5 linked regions of the Coturnix japonica genome follow. The protein of the gene in region 4 purifies or fractionates together with the protein of the main gene of each other region. This does not show direct contact. Links are inferred from orthologs where the notes say so. Each region holds a gene or a part of one and is shown on either strand. Other genes may lie near its edges.

Evidence for each region.
Region 1: the proteins of DDX20 (region 4) and GEMIN5 purify together in Homo sapiens (affinity purification with western blotting; 6 studies listed by BioGRID and IntAct, counting the BioPlex papers as one, with this or other methods). This does not show direct contact. The link is inferred for Coturnix japonica from reciprocal best matches to the Homo sapiens genes DDX20 and GEMIN5.
Region 2: the proteins of DDX20 (region 4) and GEMIN2 purify together in Homo sapiens (affinity purification with mass spectrometry; 6 studies listed by BioGRID and IntAct, counting the BioPlex papers as one, with this or other methods). This does not show direct contact. The link is inferred for Coturnix japonica from reciprocal best matches to the Homo sapiens genes DDX20 and GEMIN2.
Region 3: the proteins of DDX20 (region 4) and GEMIN4 purify together in Homo sapiens (co-immunoprecipitation; 7 studies listed by BioGRID and IntAct, counting the BioPlex papers as one, with this or other methods). This does not show direct contact. The link is inferred for Coturnix japonica from reciprocal best matches to the Homo sapiens genes DDX20 and GEMIN4.
Region 5: the proteins of DDX20 (region 4) and STRAP purify together in Homo sapiens (affinity purification with mass spectrometry; 3 studies listed by BioGRID and IntAct, counting the BioPlex papers as one, with this or other methods). This does not show direct contact. The link is inferred for Coturnix japonica from reciprocal best matches to the Homo sapiens genes DDX20 and STRAP.

The regions. Positions count from the first base shown.
Region 1 is NC_029528.1:6,019,501-6,023,763, reverse strand, and holds the start of GEMIN5 (gem-associated protein 5), read left to right. Parts: upstream 1-1,458; 5' UTR 1,459-1,487; coding exon 1,488-1,638; intron 1,639-1,734; coding exon 1,735-1,889; intron 1,890-2,740; coding exon 2,741-2,922; intron 2,923-3,459; coding exon 3,460-3,611; intron 3,612-3,819; coding exon 3,820-3,951; intron 3,952-4,136; coding exon 4,137-4,263. Other genes in the region: MRPL22 (39S ribosomal protein L22, mitochondrial), read right to left, coding at 1,221-1,266, 1,346-1,373. UniProt on the Homo sapiens protein: The SMN complex catalyzes the assembly of small nuclear ribonucleoproteins (snRNPs), the building blocks of the spliceosome, and thereby plays an important role in the splicing of cellular pre-mRNAs.
Region 2 is NC_029520.1:34,102,049-34,106,334, reverse strand, and holds the start of GEMIN2 (gem-associated protein 2), read right to left. Parts: upstream 2,813-4,286; 5' UTR 2,798-2,812; coding exon 2,559-2,797; intron 2,316-2,558; coding exon 2,231-2,315; intron 1,450-2,230; coding exon 1,360-1,449; intron 198-1,359; coding exon 138-197; intron 1-137. UniProt on the Homo sapiens protein: The SMN complex catalyzes the assembly of small nuclear ribonucleoproteins (snRNPs), the building blocks of the spliceosome, and thereby plays an important role in the splicing of cellular pre-mRNAs.
Region 3 is NC_029534.1:5,686,177-5,688,655, reverse strand, and holds part of GEMIN4 (gem-associated protein 4), read right to left. Parts: coding exon 2,079-2,479; 3' UTR 2-2,078; coding exon of another isoform or gene 1-1. Other genes in the region: TLCD3A (TLC domain-containing protein 3A), read left to right, coding at 1-1. UniProt on the Homo sapiens protein: The SMN complex catalyzes the assembly of small nuclear ribonucleoproteins (snRNPs), the building blocks of the spliceosome, and thereby plays an important role in the splicing of cellular pre-mRNAs.
Region 4 is NC_029541.1:3,411,388-3,415,404, forward strand, and holds the start of DDX20 (probable ATP-dependent RNA helicase DDX20), read left to right. Parts: upstream 1-1,205; 5' UTR 1,206-1,240; coding exon 1,241-1,418; exon of another isoform or gene 1,419-1,425; intron 1,426-1,678; coding exon 1,679-1,773; intron 1,774-2,581; coding exon 2,582-2,750; intron 2,751-2,829; coding exon 2,830-2,944; intron 2,945-3,025; coding exon 3,026-3,168; intron 3,169-3,282; coding exon 3,283-3,421; intron 3,422-3,739; coding exon 3,740-3,798; intron 3,799-4,017.
Region 5 is NC_029516.1:57,765,953-57,769,979, reverse strand, and holds the start of STRAP (serine-threonine kinase receptor-associated protein), read right to left. Parts: upstream 2,808-4,027; 5' UTR 2,685-2,807; coding exon 2,573-2,684; intron 1,553-2,572; coding exon 1,417-1,552; intron 692-1,416; coding exon 610-691; intron 361-609; coding exon 288-360; intron 1-287. UniProt on the Homo sapiens protein: The SMN complex catalyzes the assembly of small nuclear ribonucleoproteins (snRNPs), the building blocks of the spliceosome, and thereby plays an important role in the splicing of cellular pre-mRNAs.

The sequences.
Region 1 (4,263 bases), on a different chromosome or scaffold from region 4:
AGTTTCAAGAGAGGAAAAAGGACACATACACATTGCAGCAAAAACAAGGGGACAAGCAAAAGAAGTTTTGATACTTTACAACCAGGGGGTTCTTTTACATAAGTTTTCTACTATGTAACTTTACAGGAAGAAGCATGCATAAACAACAGGTGGGAGACGCACAGAATAGAAGAACTGATCGGGGAAAGCAATTCAGTTGAGCTGAAGGACAGTAACACAGGAACATCACATGGCTTTATTTCACTTTCTTCAGTGACACTGCTCTGTGATTGACCTCCAATGGCTCCAGCAGAGACCAAAGCTCTGCACTTTGAGTACCACACACTCAGCTTCACTTCTGGAACTGGGGATGCAGCGGGCAACGACCAGCACCCCCCAACATGCTGCTCCTCCAGAGCAGAGGATTGGTCGCTGTAGGAGAGCAGGGACCGAGGAGAGTCGGGCACAAGAGATATGACCTTACTGCACTCTGAACCAAGCACAGAATGGGGCCCAATGAGAGACACAGAGCCCAAGCGCAGAGGAGGATGGGGAGCAGCCCAACGCACACAGCCCACACCCACAGAATCACAGAATGATCCGGGTTGGAAGGGACCTCAAGGATCATGTAGTTCCAACCCCCCTGCCTGGCAGGGCCACCAAACATACACCTTTACTAGATCAGGTTGCCCAGGGCCCTGTCCAACCTGGCCTTGAACACCTCCAAGGACGGGGCATCCACAACCTCCCTGGGCAGCCTGTTCCAGGGCCTAACCACTCTCCTAGTAAAGAACTTCCCCCTGACATCCAACCTAAATCTTCCCTCTTTTAACTTAAAACCATTTCCCCTAGTCCTGCTTTTATCAGCCCTTTCGAAGAGTTTACTCCCCTCCTGGGAGTAAGTTCCCTTCAGGTACTGAAAGGCTGCAATGAGGTCACCCCGCAACCTTCTCTTCTCCAGGCTGAACAAACCCAACTCCCTCAGCCTGTCCTCATAGGGGAGGTGCTCCAGCCCCCTGATCATCTTCATGGCCCTCCTCTGGACCCTTTCCAAAATCTCCATGTCTTTCTTGTACTGAGGGCTCCACACCTGGACACAGTACAACAGATGGGGCCTCACAAGAGCCGAGTAGAGAGGGACAATCACCTCCCTATCCCTGCTGACCACCCCTCTCCTGATGGAGTCCAGGATCCCATTTGCTTTCCGGGCCTGCTGCAGGACGGCAGAACCCCGGACTCACCTCTCCGGCCGAGCCCAGCCGAGAATCCCCCGCATCCAGGCTCCACCTGCAAGGAAGAAACAAGGTGAGCTCGGGTAGAAGCGAGTGAAACTCGCGGGACACCGCTCTCATCCCCTCACGCTCACCAGCACCTCCCGCACACCGCGCCGCCATCTTCCCCTCCTCGCTTTACGGCGGCCGCTCCCTACGCATGTGTAACCAGGCGGGAAGACTGCCTGTTTTTGCGACACTTTGCGACGCTGTGCTCGGCGGGAGCGGCGTGCAGGCATGGCGGCAGCGGTGCGAGTATTGCCCGCATCCCCCAACTGGTACTGCAGCCGGTGCAGCCACACCAGCGGCGACGGGCGGCTCTTCGGCTTCGCCGCCAGGCACCGGATCAGCGTGTTGGATGTCAGCACCGCTACGCCGACGTTTCACGGTACGGCCTCGACCCCCCCTCCTCCCTCTGCGTTTATATAGGAGCGGCCGAGCTCCCGTTGGAAATGGCGTTCTCACGGGGCTTATCCCGGTGCAGGGGAGCTGATCGGGCACACGGAGCGAATCGCCGCCTTCGCCTTCTGCCCGCACCGCGAGCACAGCGCCCTGTGCGCCAGCGGAGCCGACGACGGCAGCGTGAGGCTGTGGGACGCGGTGGAGCTCGAGCAGAGGGGAGAGCACGGCCTGCACCAGGTGGGACCGGAGCGATGATGCTTGAGGTGCTGGGTGCTGCTTGTTCCCATAGCCTGAGGTGTACGCTGCCGTTACAGCATCGTAATGGGATGCTGGATGCTGTTAGCACCTCCTTGCTGCCGCACCCAGCTGGCTTTGCAGCCTCCTGGTGTTTCCAGTTAGTGCATCTCAGGATGCTGGTAGATAAATGGTAACTCAAACAGTTTAGAACAGGGAGTGCTTGTAGATTAGTTGCTTGTTATCCTGTGCTATACAGTCAGAATGGTTGGCTTTGGGGTTCAGGGGAGCCTCTGTGAGCAGCACAGGGTGCTCCTCAGGGGCTACTCTCAGCTCATTGTAGAAAGTGTGGTGCCAGATCTTCTCCATATCATCCCAGTGTAAAAGTGTTAAAGGTGTATGTTTGGTGGCCCTGCTAGGCAGGGGGGTTGGAACTACATGATCCTTGAGGTCCCTTCCAACCCGGGTCATTCTGTGATTCTGTGTAATGGTTGAGTTGGAAGGGACTTCGATGATCTCTAAGGTCCTTTCCAACCTGCACAAGACCGTGATACTGTGTGACTTCAAAGCCCATCTGGTTCCAACCCACTTCTGTGGGCAGAAACACCTCCCACCATATCAGCCATCATCCACGGCCTTGAGCACCATCAACAATGGGGCATCTTATGGGCCTCACCTTCCTCTGAGGATGATCTCTAGGCAGGCTGTTAGAGCAAGTTTTCCATCCCAAAAGAGCCAACTGCTAAATGCACTTTGCTTTATTTTGTGCTTCAGTTCTTTAAAGAACCCACAAAATGAATTCAGTGGCTAAGCGTGCTCAATGGCTTTACATGTATTCAATTGCCTTTCTTCAGAATGCAATCACAGCGTTACACTGGTCACCCCTTGTGAAAGATCTGATTGTGTCCGGTGATGAAAAAGGGGTAATTGTTTGCTACTGGCACAGCAGAAACGACAGCCAGCAATTCTTCCCAGAGCCTCGGACAATCTTTTGTCTCACTTGTTCTCCTCATCATGAAAACCTGGTGGCTATTGGGTAAGTGTTACGTTTTACTTTCCGTTCTTCCATCTCAAAGTGTCTTGTAAATTAGATTTCATTAACATTCCTCACATTACAGGTTACATCATCTGAAGAGAGTTTCATAGCTTTACTGTCTCTTTACCAACAGCTGCCATTTCAGTCCTTTGGACACCTAAGACTACTGAACAAAGCAGGAACATGAAAGCCTTTCAAAAGAGATGAGAGAGAATTAAAGTTATTTGTGGAAAAGGGAACAGCTTTCCTTATATAAAAGTCTCTATTACTTTATAAGGCTCTGAAAACTGTATTGCTGATAAATTGGTGTTGTTCTTGGAGCCAAATATACTCCCTGGTTGCACTTCACAAACAGAAGGCAGCTGTGTTTGTGCTAGTGCTACACTTGAGCTCCAGTTGACTGGTCTCATTGCCACTTGTGATTGGGCTTCTCTGTAATGTGGAGACACTGATCCTGGGTAATAGCTTGCAAATCAGATTAGTTGTTATTCCGTGAGGGTTTAACAATCTATCATTAACTGAAATCTCTGTTTTTAGCTACAAGGATGGCATGGTGGTTATAATTGATATCAGCAGGAAAAAAGAAGTTCTTCATCGGTTAAGAGGTCACGATGATGAAATTCATTGTCTGGCCTGGTGTCCTGTACCTGGAGAAGGAAGGTTACCTGCTTGGCAAGATGAGCTCCAAGGTACGTAGAAGTGATACGTAGTTTGTGAAGTGATACTTAGCTCAGGAGAATGTCCCTGTGGAGAACTAAATTCCTTATCCCTGTAAGGTCAGTAGGTAGCTAATCAGAGGTAACTAGTTCAAGTAAAATATTTTCTGATCCAGAGTAGTAGATTTTCAATTAACGTTTAGAGCTTTGAATTCCAAAGTATAATAACAGACTTCAATGGTGTTTCCTTCAGAAGAAGGTGATGTTCCAAACGGGGAGCTGAAACAAGATACAGCCATGAAGAAAAGTTGTTACTTGGCTTCAGGAAGCAAAGATCAGACAATACGGATATGGAGCTGTACTAGAGGCAGAAGTAAGTAAGATTAATCATTTGAGTGAGACAACAACATAGGTGAAGTGCTCCTTTCTAACTGTGGGTTTCATTTGCTAACTCAATAGTTTAAATAGTGGGGAGCCTACTTAAAGTTCAGATTCTCAGGTCTTTTTTTCTGAGAATTTGGATGTACAAAGTCGAGACGATCCCTTTCTTTTCCAAAGGTGTAATGACTCTGAAGTTGCCACCCACAAAGAGAAGAGGTGGAGCTGTTGATCCTGCTGTTAAAGAGCGCATTTGGCTCACTGTCCACTGGCCTTGTGGTCGTCCTACAGAAATTGTATCCAGCTC
Region 2 (4,286 bases), on a different chromosome or scaffold from region 4:
AAACCAGTGAAATATAGCTATCTTGAAGACACCAAAGAACAGACATGATAATACCAGTTGTTGAATTACACTGTAAAACAAAATTAACCACAAATGTAATGACTAGAAAAAACAGAACTGTTAAGAATTCTACTTACCATGTTAACATTGCTGTCCAAATCCTGTGACCGCCAGTGATTTCTGTGCTTGTTCAGGCTCTGAATAATTAAAGCCAAATCAGTTTTAACTTTACAGTTATTGGATCCTAGCCATAATCTTATCTTCACTTAAAAAAGTATGTTTTGAAATCAGTAAAGGCATTACTGAGCACATATTCATCAAGCCTCTTAGTATAAATATAACTGTTTCTTATACTGGGTTTTTGGAAATAATATTAAAGTCAAAGGAATTGTAAAGTCTACTGCATGACGTTTTAAGTAGTAAGTTTTACTAGTCTTAAAATCTTCATATACACCCTGTTTGAACAGTGTATAGAGAGAGACTGCTCAGTTCTTCAATTCTTTTCTGTCAAAGCAAGATACAAATGTGGTAGGAAAGTCTGTGCTAACACTACCTCCGCACTGCAAATCCATTTTAGCAGATCGGTATTTCTGAACATAATGGCTCCCACTAGTGCCCATAGGACTCTAAATGGACAGTGTTTTACATATATGAAGCTCATGGTGAGGTTGGAATCTACTTGTTCTATAGTTCTACAGAACAACGTAGAACACTGTTGATTTTAGTGTCACTGTGTAACATCACAGTGATTTCTGTCCTTCATGGAGTGCTATGTATCATTCAGTGTAAATACTGCCAGATATTTTTGCTTTAACAGGACCACAGAATGGCCTGGGTTGGAAGGGACCTCAAGGATCATGAATCTCCAATCATGAATCTGATCAAAATGTCATGAATCTCCCTGCCACGGGCAGTGCCACCAACCTCCACATTTAATAATAGACCAGGCTGCCCAGGGCCCCATCCAGCCTGGCCTTGAACACCTCCAGGGATGGGGCATCCACAACCACTCTGGGCAGCCTGTTCTAGCACTCACCACTCTTATAGTAAAGAACTTCCCCCTCACATCCAACCTAAATCTTCCCTCTAACTTAAAACCATTTCCCCTTGTCCTGCCATTATCTACCTTTTCAAAGAGTTGACTCTCAGGAATGAGTTTCATCAGAAGTTTAAAAGCCTCACAGTATATTCACATTTTATTTTTCTATTTTTATTAAGAAATTAAAGCAGTTGACTAGCAACATCTGATCAAAATGTCATGGCTTTATGGCAGGAAAGATAGAAGGTTGTCCCCCCTAAAGCACAGATGTGCAAGTTTAAAGCATCCCTCCAGTCTCCATCACACACAGAATTTTCTACCTGACGAACAGATGAGAAATTGGCCACTTGCTGCTGCTGCCACTTGAGTGTTGGAGAGTATCCTTCCGGAGCAGGCTGACAGCCAGAAATCTAAGAAAACACTGGCAATAATTATAATGTATAAAAAGCTTTATAAAAATAATCCTTAAAGAACAAGAGAAGTAGTAAACAACAACGACAGACTGCCAGCAGATAAAAATACAAGTACTCGCTTTAAGAAAGGCAATTTCCTGACAACTGATTTAACAGTTAGTCTGGACAAAATTCATCCTGCTTGATGGTGCATGTATGCAAAGAAGGAAAATTAAACACACAGAATGTGCTGTTGAAGAATCATTTAAGGTCATGTTTTTAGCACCTATTCTGCTTTAACTTCCCTGTGAATAAAAAGGAGAGTGCTCCTTTTTATTAACAGAGGGGAAATCCCAATAAGAAATTCCATCAACAAGTGAAGAAATGGTGCTAACATTTCATCTTACGTTAGCTGTACTTACTGCTCTTACTGCCTTACATACATCTATATATGATCTTCAGGGTCTTTGAATCTAGATACAGATATTGCTTTCTTCTAAAGCTCACACATGCTTTAAGATAGACTTGTAGAATTTGGCTCAGCATTTGATTCCTTCAGGCAAAAAGAAGTCTGCTGTGTGTCAGTTAGTAGGGCTATGGCTGATTTACACTGATCAGCTACAAAGACTCCTTATTGCCCAGAAACTCAACAGGTATTTCTTCGAACCCTAAAGTTTTATTTATTTCATTAGGAGCTTTAAGATCCAGCAAAGCTGCTGTTTCAGTTATGCTTATGACCTCCCTATCTTTCCTGCTGCTTGTTTCTTATAGCAAAAGGAATAGAGCAGCCCAAACTTACTGCAATATTTACTGTCTGCTTCTTTCTCAGTTTCTTGGGGTCTATTTGTGCCACGACCACATCTGGGCATCGCGCTGCTTCGATCCTACAAAATAAAACCAAACCACTGTATTGCAATGGGCAGTTATAGGACGAATGCCTCTGATATACGGCACCTGCAGAAATCTTCACTTATGCAAAAACCAACTGACTCCACGGGCAATTGTTACAGAAGGTCTGACTTCAGAATTAACTCTTTATAAACAACTGCACTTATGTTTGCATGCTCCTAAACTGCCTTGAAGTGAGGCCCGACCGGCCCGCCGCCAACCCCCGTCCCTCCACTCACTGGACGCGCCTCAGGTACTCCTGCGGCGTGCGGGGCGGCACGCTGGGGTCGAAGTCGTCGGGCAGGTCGCAGTCCTCCACGGGCAGCAGCCGCGGCATCAGCTCCTCCACGGCCGCCTCCATCGCCCCGCCGACACGGCCGACCCGCCTCTCCCCGCCGGCCGCCGGCCCGGCTGCTCTCGCGAGAGACGTTCCTCGCGCAGGCGGAGCGCCGCCGCCGTGCCCGGGCGTTACGGCCATTGCGGGGCTGTGCACTGTGCCGTCCTGCCGGGGAACCGGCCACAGCGATAACCCCGTTACTGAGCTGGACGGCACCTCTGATAACCACATTTAGGCCCCGCGTCATTACCTACCTTAGCTTTCGCAAGTAGCTCTTCACAACTCACCCATACTGTCTATTCCGCCCGTGGAAGGGCAGTAATAATTCTTATCCCTTCCTTGTCACGTCTAGAGACCTACAGTGCAAATTAATTGCCTAAAAGGTCACTGCTGTAAATCCAGGTGTAGTCCTGGAAGCGTTTGGCTGAGGTTTCATTTTGTTTCTGGATGGGTTTATCCCAAATCAAAGCAGCAGTAGCACTGAGGTGGGTTACTTCTCAGGTAAAACACAGAGGGACAATGCTGTACTTACTGAAATAGTGTAAATTGTCCCTTATTAAACTCCTGTGTATTGTTGTTTCTTAGTACAGCATGTCATCAGTGTGCTAAATGCAGCCCATACAGCAGAACAGCCTCTTACATTGACCTCGGTTTTGTCCTTTATTTTCCCATAAGACTGTAGGTTAGCAGTTCCAAACAAACATCAGCCTTAACTCCTCCTCTCCGCTGACCTTTTGTTTGCTTTAAGGTGTTTCTAAATCCACTTACGTGTAACAGGGAGCCCGGATTTCACATCCTGCTTGAGTGCAACAGCTGCAGTCATTGCTGGACATAAGTCCAGCGAGCCCAAAGCCACAGCAATGGCCCCGCTGACCAACAGTCCAAGCAAAAACAACGGTGAGTAAAACTGAGGAGTCCTCTTCTAAAGCTTTGGTCATATTCTGAAGTTATATTTTTCTATCTGTCACGGAGTCAAGGTCTTTGAACGGAAAGAGATGCCAGAAATACAAATGTTTGGGTTTGGTTTGTTTTTTAATATATTTTCTGTACATATTATTTGCTGGAACTTCTGATTGATACCATTTAATCCAAGTAACTTTGCAAAACGATTGCAGGCAATCTAACAACAAAACTATCACGGATTTTAGCAGCGATGTCGATGCAACAGCTGGTCAATGGAATTCAGTGGAAGAAGAGGAATAAGCACCTGGAGCAGAGTATCATAGCTGTTTCTCAGCTGCGTAGCCATTATTTTCCACATAAAAGGTGAGCTGCTACCTGCGGCCATGCACTGCTGCCTAAGAACATCTGACACGTCGACAGTGTTGCTGTTATTGCCTCTCTTTGCTTCTCTTGGTTCTTATGTAATGGCATTTAACTGTGCTAACAACTCATGAGAAATACCATACATGCCATGTCCTCGGCACCATCCAGCTGGATACTCCCACAGCTGGCATTGGGAATCAAGGGCAGTGAGTATTAAAACCCTCTCTTCCAGATGTGCTTTTGTTTGGCTACTCATGTTTGTAGACTAAAGAGAGCCGGCAAACAATCCTGTGGATAGTCATGGTATAGAACCCAGAAAAGCAACAACAACAAAGACAAAAACTGGATTGTACATTCAGTGCTA
Region 3 (2,479 bases), on a different chromosome or scaffold from region 4:
ATGGCTGGCGGAGCACGAGGGCTGGAGAAGGGTTGTTCCCCCCCACAGCTCTTCTGCCTGCAAAGTCAGAGCTGCAGGAACCATCGTGGGAGCACAGCAGCATCGATGCCATGAGGCAGCCCTGCTGTCAGCAGTGCTGGTCTCAACTAGGGGGACTTTCCTCCCACGCTGCTCCTGCACCTTGAGCAAGGAAGAGGTCTCCCCATAAGCATAACATTCCTTCTAGGGTTCAATGCTGCAGCACCAAACTAATGGTTACATGAGAAGGGACTGTTACAGATCCCTCATCTTTCAGAGCTGATGGCAGCACAGAGTGAGGCACTGCACAAAGGATCTCATGGAGTGGATGCAGCAGTGTAGGCGATGCTGGAGCATGCCCAGCCCCAAGCAGCAGTGCTGGGGATGTGGGAGCTGCGTGCTGTCCCTGCTGGGCTCAGATCTGCTCCTCCAGCAGGGAGCAAAACCAGGCCCTGTGATTCTGCACAGCCTGTTCCCCAATGGTGCCTTTACACTACAGTTGCATTCAGCTTCTGACTTGCCCACACCTTGCTGCTGCTGGGCTCAAGCTTACTTAGGACTCTCCACTTAACTCGAAGGGGATTTTCAGTACCACTGTGATGTCTGTGGCTGACAGGGAGTAGGGCAGCTCTGGAGCCCCAGCAGGATCCAAGGATTGGTTGCACTCTGTCAGAGCAAGCCAGGCAGGCAAGAGCCATCACTGAAGGGCAGGAGATTGCAAAGTCCCTATCCCACCAACACAGAGCCCTTCTATGGCAGGTGATGGCTGGTTTCAACCCCCTTGCCTGGCTGCAGTTGCATAAGGGGATGGGTTCATCTGCCTCATTACCTCTATCAGGTAACTGAAAGCCCAACATGTTTCCTTGCCCCTGCTCTCCCTTCAGCTGACACCAGCAGCACTCTGGGTACAGCCTGAGCTCCAGCTCTGTCCTTCCTGCCCCATCCTGGTCCCCTACAAAGGGAGACCTGCCTGAACCTGGCAGGGAAGGAACTGCTCAGTGCGTGAGGAACCAGCACCACCAGCAGACATACACAAACTGGACAGGTGCCCTTCTTTCTCTGAACACAGCATAAAACTGAGCAGCCAGGTCCTCCCCACAGCCTCCTGCACAAGCCTGGAGTTTCCTCTGTTCCAGAGCATCCAGCTGCACCAGCAGTTGATAGACCAGCACCCACTCTGTGCCTTTCATTCTGTCTAAAAGCTAAAAAGGATGGCTGGAAGGGGCCCAGGCTGGGAGAACCATTTCTTCTGGGTGTCAGATCTTGTCCCAGCCATGGCTGTACAGGCTGGAAAGAATAATAATGATTTTACAAAAGCCTCTTCCAGCACGCAGTCGGTTATTGCACAAGCACTACTGTTACATTAACCATTGAGACAAGCTGCTGTTATAAACCGCTTGCTACCCATTGCAAATATTTGTATATTGCTGTTTTTATTACAGATAATGTGCCTTATGTAAAGACAGTCACTGAGGCATCTCAGTTTGCACTAACACTGCCCTATTTACTACTGTACCTATCAGAAGAGATCAATAAAGACTTCTTTCTTGAGTCACACCACCGGATGCCTCCCTCCCACGTGCCATTCATTGCTGGGTGGGGAGGCATTTAGGCAGCAGTTTGCCACTGTGCACCCACCCTGGGGCAGCAGCCCACACCTATTGCCCAAGGTGCCTGCTCATCCCGCAGAGCATCCTGCTTTGGCACAAACAGCAGTGCAGCCACAGCGAGGAGAGGACAGCCTGACAGAAGTACTTTCCTGGTGCCAGAGGCTTTTTGTGAGCACAGTGAAACTCCAGACCAATATTAAGCAAGGTTGGGGCCAAGGGACTGAGCTCGCAGCAGCAGTAGTTGTGTCTACAGCTGTTTATGTGGCTGCTTTGCTGTTTAGACAGGTTTGGAGGGAACAGAGCAGGGAAGAAATTAGTTCAAAAGTGAAAAATAGATGAGGTTTATTACGGATCTTACAGTTTTCCACATAGTGGTCCCTTGCAGCAGGGTCAGTGCTCTCCTGATTCTCCCTTCGGCTCTTCGTGCTGTCCCTGGCCAAGCAGGCTGCCCTAAGCACCCAGCTTGCTGAGCTTCTGCAGGAGGGGGCTGCGCAAAGCCTTGTCACTGATATTGTCAGTGATGGACTCCAGGAAATGCTTCTCATTGGCTCTCCTCAGTACGTTGCTGGGGGACGTATCAGCAGAACTGAATACCTCATACTGAGAGAGGACCTCCAAGGCCACCACCACCAGCGGCTCACTACACTCACTGTCTGGAGGCAGCATGGCTGCAATGTGCAGGAGGTGGCAAAACACCTGGATGCAGACAAAGGACACCTCCTCCCCGGAGCTCCTGTGCTCAGCAGGGTGCAAGGGGGGCCCTGTGGTGCTCTTGATGGAGCTCAGCAGGTCTGTGAGGCTGCTGCAGTACAGTTGGACCACATGGAGCCAAGCCTGTGGTGGCAACCAGT
Region 4 (4,017 bases):
GGAAGCCAGTAGAAATTCTTTGTGAGTGTTTACAAAGAGTTAATAAGGGAATTTAGCTGTAGTGGATGGAGAATAAGTTACAAAGAGATGGATGAATCTGTAGTGAGTACTCAGTGCTGGTACTTGAGATGCATGGATGTTTCTTTGCACTCCACGTGTTAGTCTTATGGGGTCTGGTGTTACTTTGGATGTCATGCAAAAGTAAAGAGACAGAGCCTGTGCCACAGCTTTCAGCCATAGATTGTGTGAGTACTGCAGGAGCTGATCTGATGCAGCCACAAAAACAAGTGGAGATGGGCAATGCAGCATAGAAACACTGAGTCTGTTTGGAATCCCTCCCTCCAAACTCCAGTGGAGGGCTCAGAAAATTGATTAAGCCTCCACAGACATTGGTGTCTTTGTGAATTAAGGTGATGTGTCTGTCTACATGGCAGAGGACAGTGATCTCTGCATCCAGACCCCAACACGCCCGATATCTCAGGGAGAGGTGAGGGAAGCAGAAAGGAGGAGCAGCTCATTGCACGGGGATGTTTTATCACCTCTTCTCTGCCTTTCCCCACTGAGCACAGATAGTCCTGACTGCTCTCTGTTGTCTGCTTGAATCACATCAATTTAAAAGGGTTATAAGAGGCTGCCTTTAACCAAAGCTTTTCTTACATCTCCTTGTCCCTCTCCTTTCCTGGATGTATCCAGAGAATCATCTCATTGGAGACCCGTTTCCACTTTGAGGACCCAAAGGGGAATATCCACTTAGCAATTAAAGAACAAATGGGGTTAAGAGGATGCTGGATGTCACCCCAGCCCTGCCACCACCATCTGCCCTCCCTGCAGGGCTGTTGTGTGCTCAGATATCTATAGGAACATCTCATTTCATGCTAAGAAACAACCAAATAACAGCAAATAGATAATAACCAAATCGACTCAGCCACTTATTTTGCCTTATAAATGCAAACAGGATGAACGAATTGCATTCTGACTGCAGACCACCGCACACTGAGGCTTCCTGGAGGTGTCAGGATGACAAGCAGCGTGTGGTTGAGGTGCATTGCTGCACTGTGGCTTTATTTTGCAGCGTTTTTATGCAGGACAGATCAGAGCACACATAGATAAGCACAGCCTGATAACACACATTGATAAGCACTGATAACACACAGCGCAATGCGCCTATAGCGCCCCCTAGCGGTGCGGCGGGCGCTGAATTCTCGCGTGATAAAGCGAGCGATCTCTTCCGGCTCTCAAGATGGCGGCCCCCGTTGAAGGCCGGTTCCGCACCCGCGATGTGTTGCTGCCCGGTGGCCCGTCTGATTTCGGCTCGTTGCTGTTATCGCCTCCGGTTCTGGAGGGGCTGGAGGCGGCTGGCTTCCATAGACCGTCTCCTGTGCAGCTAAAGGCCATTCCGTTGGGGCGCTGTGGGCTGGGTGAGCGGTAGGCCTCGGGGGTGTGAGAGGGCCTTCCCATTGATATATATGGGTTCTGTGGGGTGTGAGAGGCCTTTCCCATTGATATATATGGGTTCTGGGGGCTGTGAGAAGCCTTTCCCATTGATATATATGGGTTCTGGGGGGTGTGAGAGGCCTTTCCCATTGATATATATGGGTTCTNGCCTTTCCCATTGATATATATGGGTTCTGGGGGGTGTGAGAGGCCTTTCCCATTGATATATATGGGTTCTTTTTAGATCTCATCGTACAGGCCAAGTCCGGTACCGGTAAAACCTGTGTCTTCTCCACCATCGCTTTGGATTCGCTGCTGCTGGACAGCCCGGCCACGCAGGTGAGACCTGGTACAGAACCTGGTTCCGAGGCCTTATGGAGGTGGTCTCTTCATGTTGTGGAAGGGGCATTCTGTTCTATGGGGCTCTTTTCGTTCTGTGTGCACCTATAGAAGTTATCCCCTTCCTTCTTCTTCTTTGTATTCTAACGCCTGCTGTATTACTTTCATAGCTAAGAACATATCCGAGCCCTTCGTATGTTGCATATAAACAGCTGTATTTGAAGTCTGAGCACCTCCCTTATGAGGGCAGGCTGAGAGAGCTGAGGTTCTTCAGCCTGACAGGCCCTTATATCAGCCTTCCACTACTTGGTGGGTTCTCCTATAGGAAAAGCAGGGAGGGGTGTTTTATAAGGGCTTATAGTGACAGGATGGAGGGAAATGCTTTTAAAGTGGAGATATAGAATCATAGAATTACCTGGGTTGGAAAAGACCTTGAAGATCATCAAGTCCAACCGCAGCCTAACCAGTATCCTAACCCTAAAAACCCTCCGCTAAATCATATCCCTGAGCACCACAAAGGCTAGATATTAAGAGGAATATCTTTAATGTGAGGGTGGTGAGACACTGGTACAGGTTGCCTAGTGATGTTGTGGAGGTTCCCTCCCTGGAAGGCCAAGCTGGATGGGGATGTGATTAACCTGGGCTAGTGGGAGGTGTCCCTGCCTATAGCAGAGGATTTAGGACTAGATGATCTTAAAGGTCCCTTCCAGCCCAAACCGTCCTGTGGTTCTAAATCATCACAACTTGATGTGCTTTGATCTTACAAGCTGTTCAGTGGTGTTCAAACACAGCTGTTTGTTACTCGCAGGTTCTTATCTTGGCTCCAACTCGAGAGATCGCTGTGCAGATTCATGCTGTTATCACAACCATTGGGATCAAAATGGAAGGTTTGGAATGCCATGTCTTCATTGGAGGTACTCCTTTGAGCCAGGATAAAGTCCGGCTAAAGAAATGCCACATAGCGGTTGGCTCTCCAGGTATGGGCATGCTTCACTTAGCTTAAACTTCAAGTTAATATTTGAGAAGCTAAGTTTACTTGTATTTCTTCATATGTAGGTCGAATAAAACAGCTCATAGAGTTGGACTACTTGAATACTGCCAGTATCCGGCTCTTCATTCTTGATGAAGCAGACAAGCTGCTGGAAGAAGGCAGCTTTCAGGAGCAGATCAAGTGAGAAAACCACTTACCCTGTGTATTTATCTGCAGATTAGATTAATCTTTGTTATTCATTCCCATTTTTGTCTCTCATAGTTGGATTTACTCTTCACTGCCAGCCAATAAACAGATGCTTGCTGTTTCAGCTACTTACCCTGAATCGTTAGCTAATGCATTGACAATGTACATGAGAGAACCAACGTTTGTGAGGTTGAATCCTACTGATCCTAGTCTCATTGGTGAGTCGTGTTTATTGATCATGTTGTCAATAGATTGTGAGCTAAAATAGCAGCTTAGCTTTTGTGTCTTTATGGACATCCTTAATCTAATGACTGTCTTGGTTTCATGCTCAGGGCTGAAGCAGTATTATAAAATAGTGAATTCGCATCCACTTCCACATAAAACATTTGAGGAAAAAACCCAGCACCTGCAAGAGTTGTTCAGCAAGATTCCATTTAATCAAGCATTGGTCTTCTCGAATTTGCATAGCAGGTAATAAACCCATTCAAGGATGAATTTGCGTCTTTTTTTAACACCTTTTTTAAAGATCTCAAAGCAATATGCAGGTTTCTGAAATACAGGACAGAAATGTTGGAATAGTCTGAAATGTTAACAGTAAAACTTCAGCACAGAAGTACATTAGATTACACTGAGTCCTATTATCTGTTGCTCATGTCTGTTTATAAAGGAACTGTCCATAAGATGATAGTAGAGTCCTTGCCTGTAAAGAACAGTGTTGTGTTAAGGAACATACATGGGCTGTTATATGTGCAGTCTTAATTACTGTTTTTATTGTGTATATTCTATTAGGGCTCAACATCTAGCTGAAATACTAACATCCAGAGGCTTTCCTGCTGAGTGCATTTCAGGTAAACCTGTTTAGAACTTTCTGTTGGTTGAAATGGTGTGTAAATATGATCTAACATAAGAAAATACATCCTGAAAGCTTGATTTACATGGCCTCTGTTTGAATAACTAAGAAGAGCAATAGAATCTTCATGGTCTCTAAGACTTGCATGTTAGTTCAATTTTTGCTTTGATGAAGCTTCTAGTTTGTTTGAGAATCATGTTATGAATACTTGCCCAAG
Region 5 (4,027 bases), on a different chromosome or scaffold from region 4:
CTTCAATATGAAAAGTCTTTTGCCTTTCGGGTAGTGTAACTTTATTCAGACCTAGTCATAGTTAAGTCCCTGTTAAAGTCAATCACACTATCCTTAAATCTCTTCATAGATAAGCTCTATTTTACTTCAAAGACTAAAACAATTTGATTTAGTATAGAAAACTGTTATAGACACATTCTTTGTACAACGAGCCTCAAGTGTGTCTTTTGTGATTCACAACAAATTTCACACGCAAGAAAAATCAACCAAACAAAACCAACAGTAACCAGTTGTAAGTGCAGACTCACCTGCTTCCGGCTTGCTTAAATCATAGATACGCAACAATTTATCTTGTCCACCTGTTAACAGATAATTGCTATCCTGAAACAGAAGTTATAAAGGGTCAACTCTACTTTGAATTGAAATACCAGCCTTCATCCATAAGCCTTAAAATACCAGTTATTTCTCTCAGTTTCTAAAACATTTATTACAACTTGTTTGTAAGAGCAAAGCTTAAATGCATGCTAAATTACTTGCCAGCCTAAGCATATGTATAAAAAAAGTAGCAAATAAAAAAATATGCCGAAGACCTTACCTCTCTGTTGAATATGCTATAAAGATTTTCCATACCTGTGTAAAATCCACACTTTTGACAATGTGTTTGTGAGCCAATGTGATTAGTTCATCTCCCGACACAGCATCCCACACTTTGCTAAATGACAAGAGAGAACACGTACATTTCAATAGCTCCAGGATAAATGTGAACACACAAGTTAAGTTGTCTCTCCTAATCTACCCTATACAATCCTTCCTGATACTATCATAACATTTTTAATCCTAAATGCTACATTGTAATGAACTACAGACCTCATATTCTTTCACTGAAGAATTTCTTGTTACTGACCCATCATTTTCTTTCACTAATTTCTTCAGGATAACACATCAGCAGCATTTTAGATTTAAGACAAACAAAGGCAGCTCTTCTCTGCAACTTTTATGGACTTAATTCTAATAACAGGATTTGAATTGTCAAATATATTAATGTATGCTGCAAACAGTTCAAACAAGCAAAACAAAAATAAAAGAAATAATTCATTAATATTTCTGCATGTCTTCTTCTAATAAAAAGTGGTACACAAAACGAAGATCACTCTTGCCACTCTCGTATAACTACAGTACTGAAGTCGAGAACTGCACAGCATTGTTTATTCCAATAAATCAGCACTATAACTAAGTATATATGTCAAGAAGCAACCACAGTTGCTCAGCAAGATAGAATTAGCTGTAGCTACTCATAAAAACCTTAAATTCTAGGCTGTAATACAGATATAAAGTAACAACTTAAACAAAAACAAAACCACAGCAACTTACTACAGCCATATTAAAAAAAAAGGCTATTGACTAAAATCAAGACTCCAAAAGCAGGTAATCACTTACGCTGTAAAATCTGCGGCTGCTGTAGCTGCTTTAGTGGCATCTTTGTTCAACGTAGCACCCCAGACAGCACCTTTATGACCTAGGAAAGTGCCGATCCAGTCTCCTGTGTCACCCTGACGTAGCATAGGCTTTCCATCTTTGGAAAAACAAAACCAATATTCAGACAACATAACAAAAAAAGCAAGCTGTGTTAGGAAACAATTCCCTCACACCAACATGGAGCAATCAAACTGCCACCAGACTGGCCTCCCTTAATGGAAACACCATATACACTGTGAAATGGTATAGCTGAAGAACTTAAATGTACAGATGCACCTCTGAAAAGGAGCACCTTTTGCTGTTTTTTCTTTTCTAATATAGCCAAGTGTTCCTTGGGCAGGTCAGTTCAATTCATTTTAGAACAATATTTTCAGACTAACAGTACACAAAAAAGGAGTCTGGGGTTTGTAATGAGAGATGTTTAAAACACAAAGAGATATGCTGTAATAACGAAATAGAAAGCCTTTACTGTGACTATTTTTTGCTAGGACACAACCAGATATAATTCATGCAATGAATAGAGCTGAACATTAAGTCCTCAGAGACATCGAGGAATGTTCTTTTACACTTGTGAACACAAGTGAACATTAACTCATATGCATAGAAATGAAAATGCTACTCTCATAAATAAGCAGAAGAGAGTTCTTGTGGGAAAGGAAGCAGAAATCACTGCTCCGCAATCAGCAAGGCAGCTACCTTGGTTGCAAAGGAGCTGGTTTTAAAGTGTGTAAAAGTTATAGCTACTTTCAGATAACGATTTTCAAGCCTTTCCTTCGCAAGTGGGATTCAGCCTGAATGAATGGGAGCCTCAAAGCCCTGCGGGCTAAAACCCGGCAGAACCAGCCTCCCACCGGTTCCCTTTTCCATCTGGTCACGCTGGAAGCAGGTATTTAGAACACGGAGGGCCCACTGAACGCTCACCTCAACCCTCCTCCCCACTCTCCCCATCGCAAACCTCTCAAATAGGTGGCTATGGCCACAGCCACGCGCAACCCGCCAACAGCGGCCCGCAACCCACAAGGCCTCAGTGCGGAGCAGGCCCAGCCACTGCGACTATTGAAAGGGGCCGGTGAAACGAGCACGGCCGCCCACCCCTCGCCCCCCCAGCCACGCTCACCCTTGCAGGCACTGATAAGGAAGTAGCCGTAAGGGGTGACGCCGCTGAAGGCCAAGTCCACCACGGGTCGCGTGTGCCCGGAGCACGTCAGCGGGGTCTGCCTCATGGCCATGGCGGCGGCTGAGCTCGGGACGCGCAGGGAGCTGGGCGGGGACGCGGCTACACTCCAGCCGGGTGGGAAACGGCGACCGCGGTGTTGGCGGCAGCGGAGGAAATGACGGCGGAGGAAGCGTTCCGGAGAGGAAATACGTCAGAGAGCGGGTGCGGAAGGGGAAGTGCTGGTAGCCGGTACGTGAGCTGTGGTGTTCAAAGAGGAAACTGCTCTGGGGAGGAGATCCCACCATTGATGTAATTGATAAACATATTGAAGAGCATTAGCCCCAGTATTGACTCTTATGGGATCGTCACTGATCTCCACCTTGACACTGAGCCACTGACCACCTCTGTCTGCATACTATCTCACAAGTTCCTCATCTGTCAGACAGTCTGCCCATCAAATCCATTTATTTCCAATTTGGAGGGAATGTTACAGGGGACCACATCATACCAATCAAAATTTGATTAAGTACTAAAGTCCAAAGAGATTATCCCTGCCTCTTAAATCCATTGTAACACTAACGTTTAGGTGTGTTTATTCCCTACAGTCTGACAATCTTTGGTTTAGAAATGGATTAATTCAGTGCATTCAGACTAGACAACTTTTAATACAAAGATTCTAAGAGAAACCTCAAAGTGAAAAACAGGCACTCAGGTCTTCAAGAAAGGCTGGAGATATTACTGGAAATAGGAAAGGTGGTAAGAGTAGATATTTACAAATGAAAGCCTCACAAGCTTAGAATAAAAATAGTAAGATTTTGTTTTATTTGGTTTTTAGTCAAGGTTGTTGTGTATCAGACAGCAGGAAAGTAAGGGGGAAAAAAAAACATCACATTTTTTTATTCAGTGTTTCATATTTATCTGTTCATTATCCAGACAATTATCCAATAGAATTAAATAAATATTCATTAACTCCAGCTTGTCAGGAAGTAATCAGGGACTTGTAATCATATAGAGCAATTCACCCCATCACTGCACAGAATAGCAAGTGTGCCAATCAGATGTTATAAAGCACCTGGGCCTGACTCTGTCACTGGTGACTTATAATATTTGCTTGATTAGAAACATCTTTTCACAGTGATTGAATTTTCTTAGAAATCGTTGCTGAACATGAATAAAGCTATCTTAGTGAAAAATCATGTTTCTAGTGCTTTGATTAAAGTAGATCAAGCAGAGATTGAATCAAGGAGTTTGGTGTACATATTTACATTTCCAAAGATTCCTTTCTGCTCCTGCGCTAGATAACAATGTTGAAAATGCCTTCTCTTGCCACTGAGGGGAGCTCCGTACATATCTATTAGCACGTCACCGCTCTAGCTGAGAGATTCTGCTCTGGGGTGACTTTTTGATTGTGATTTC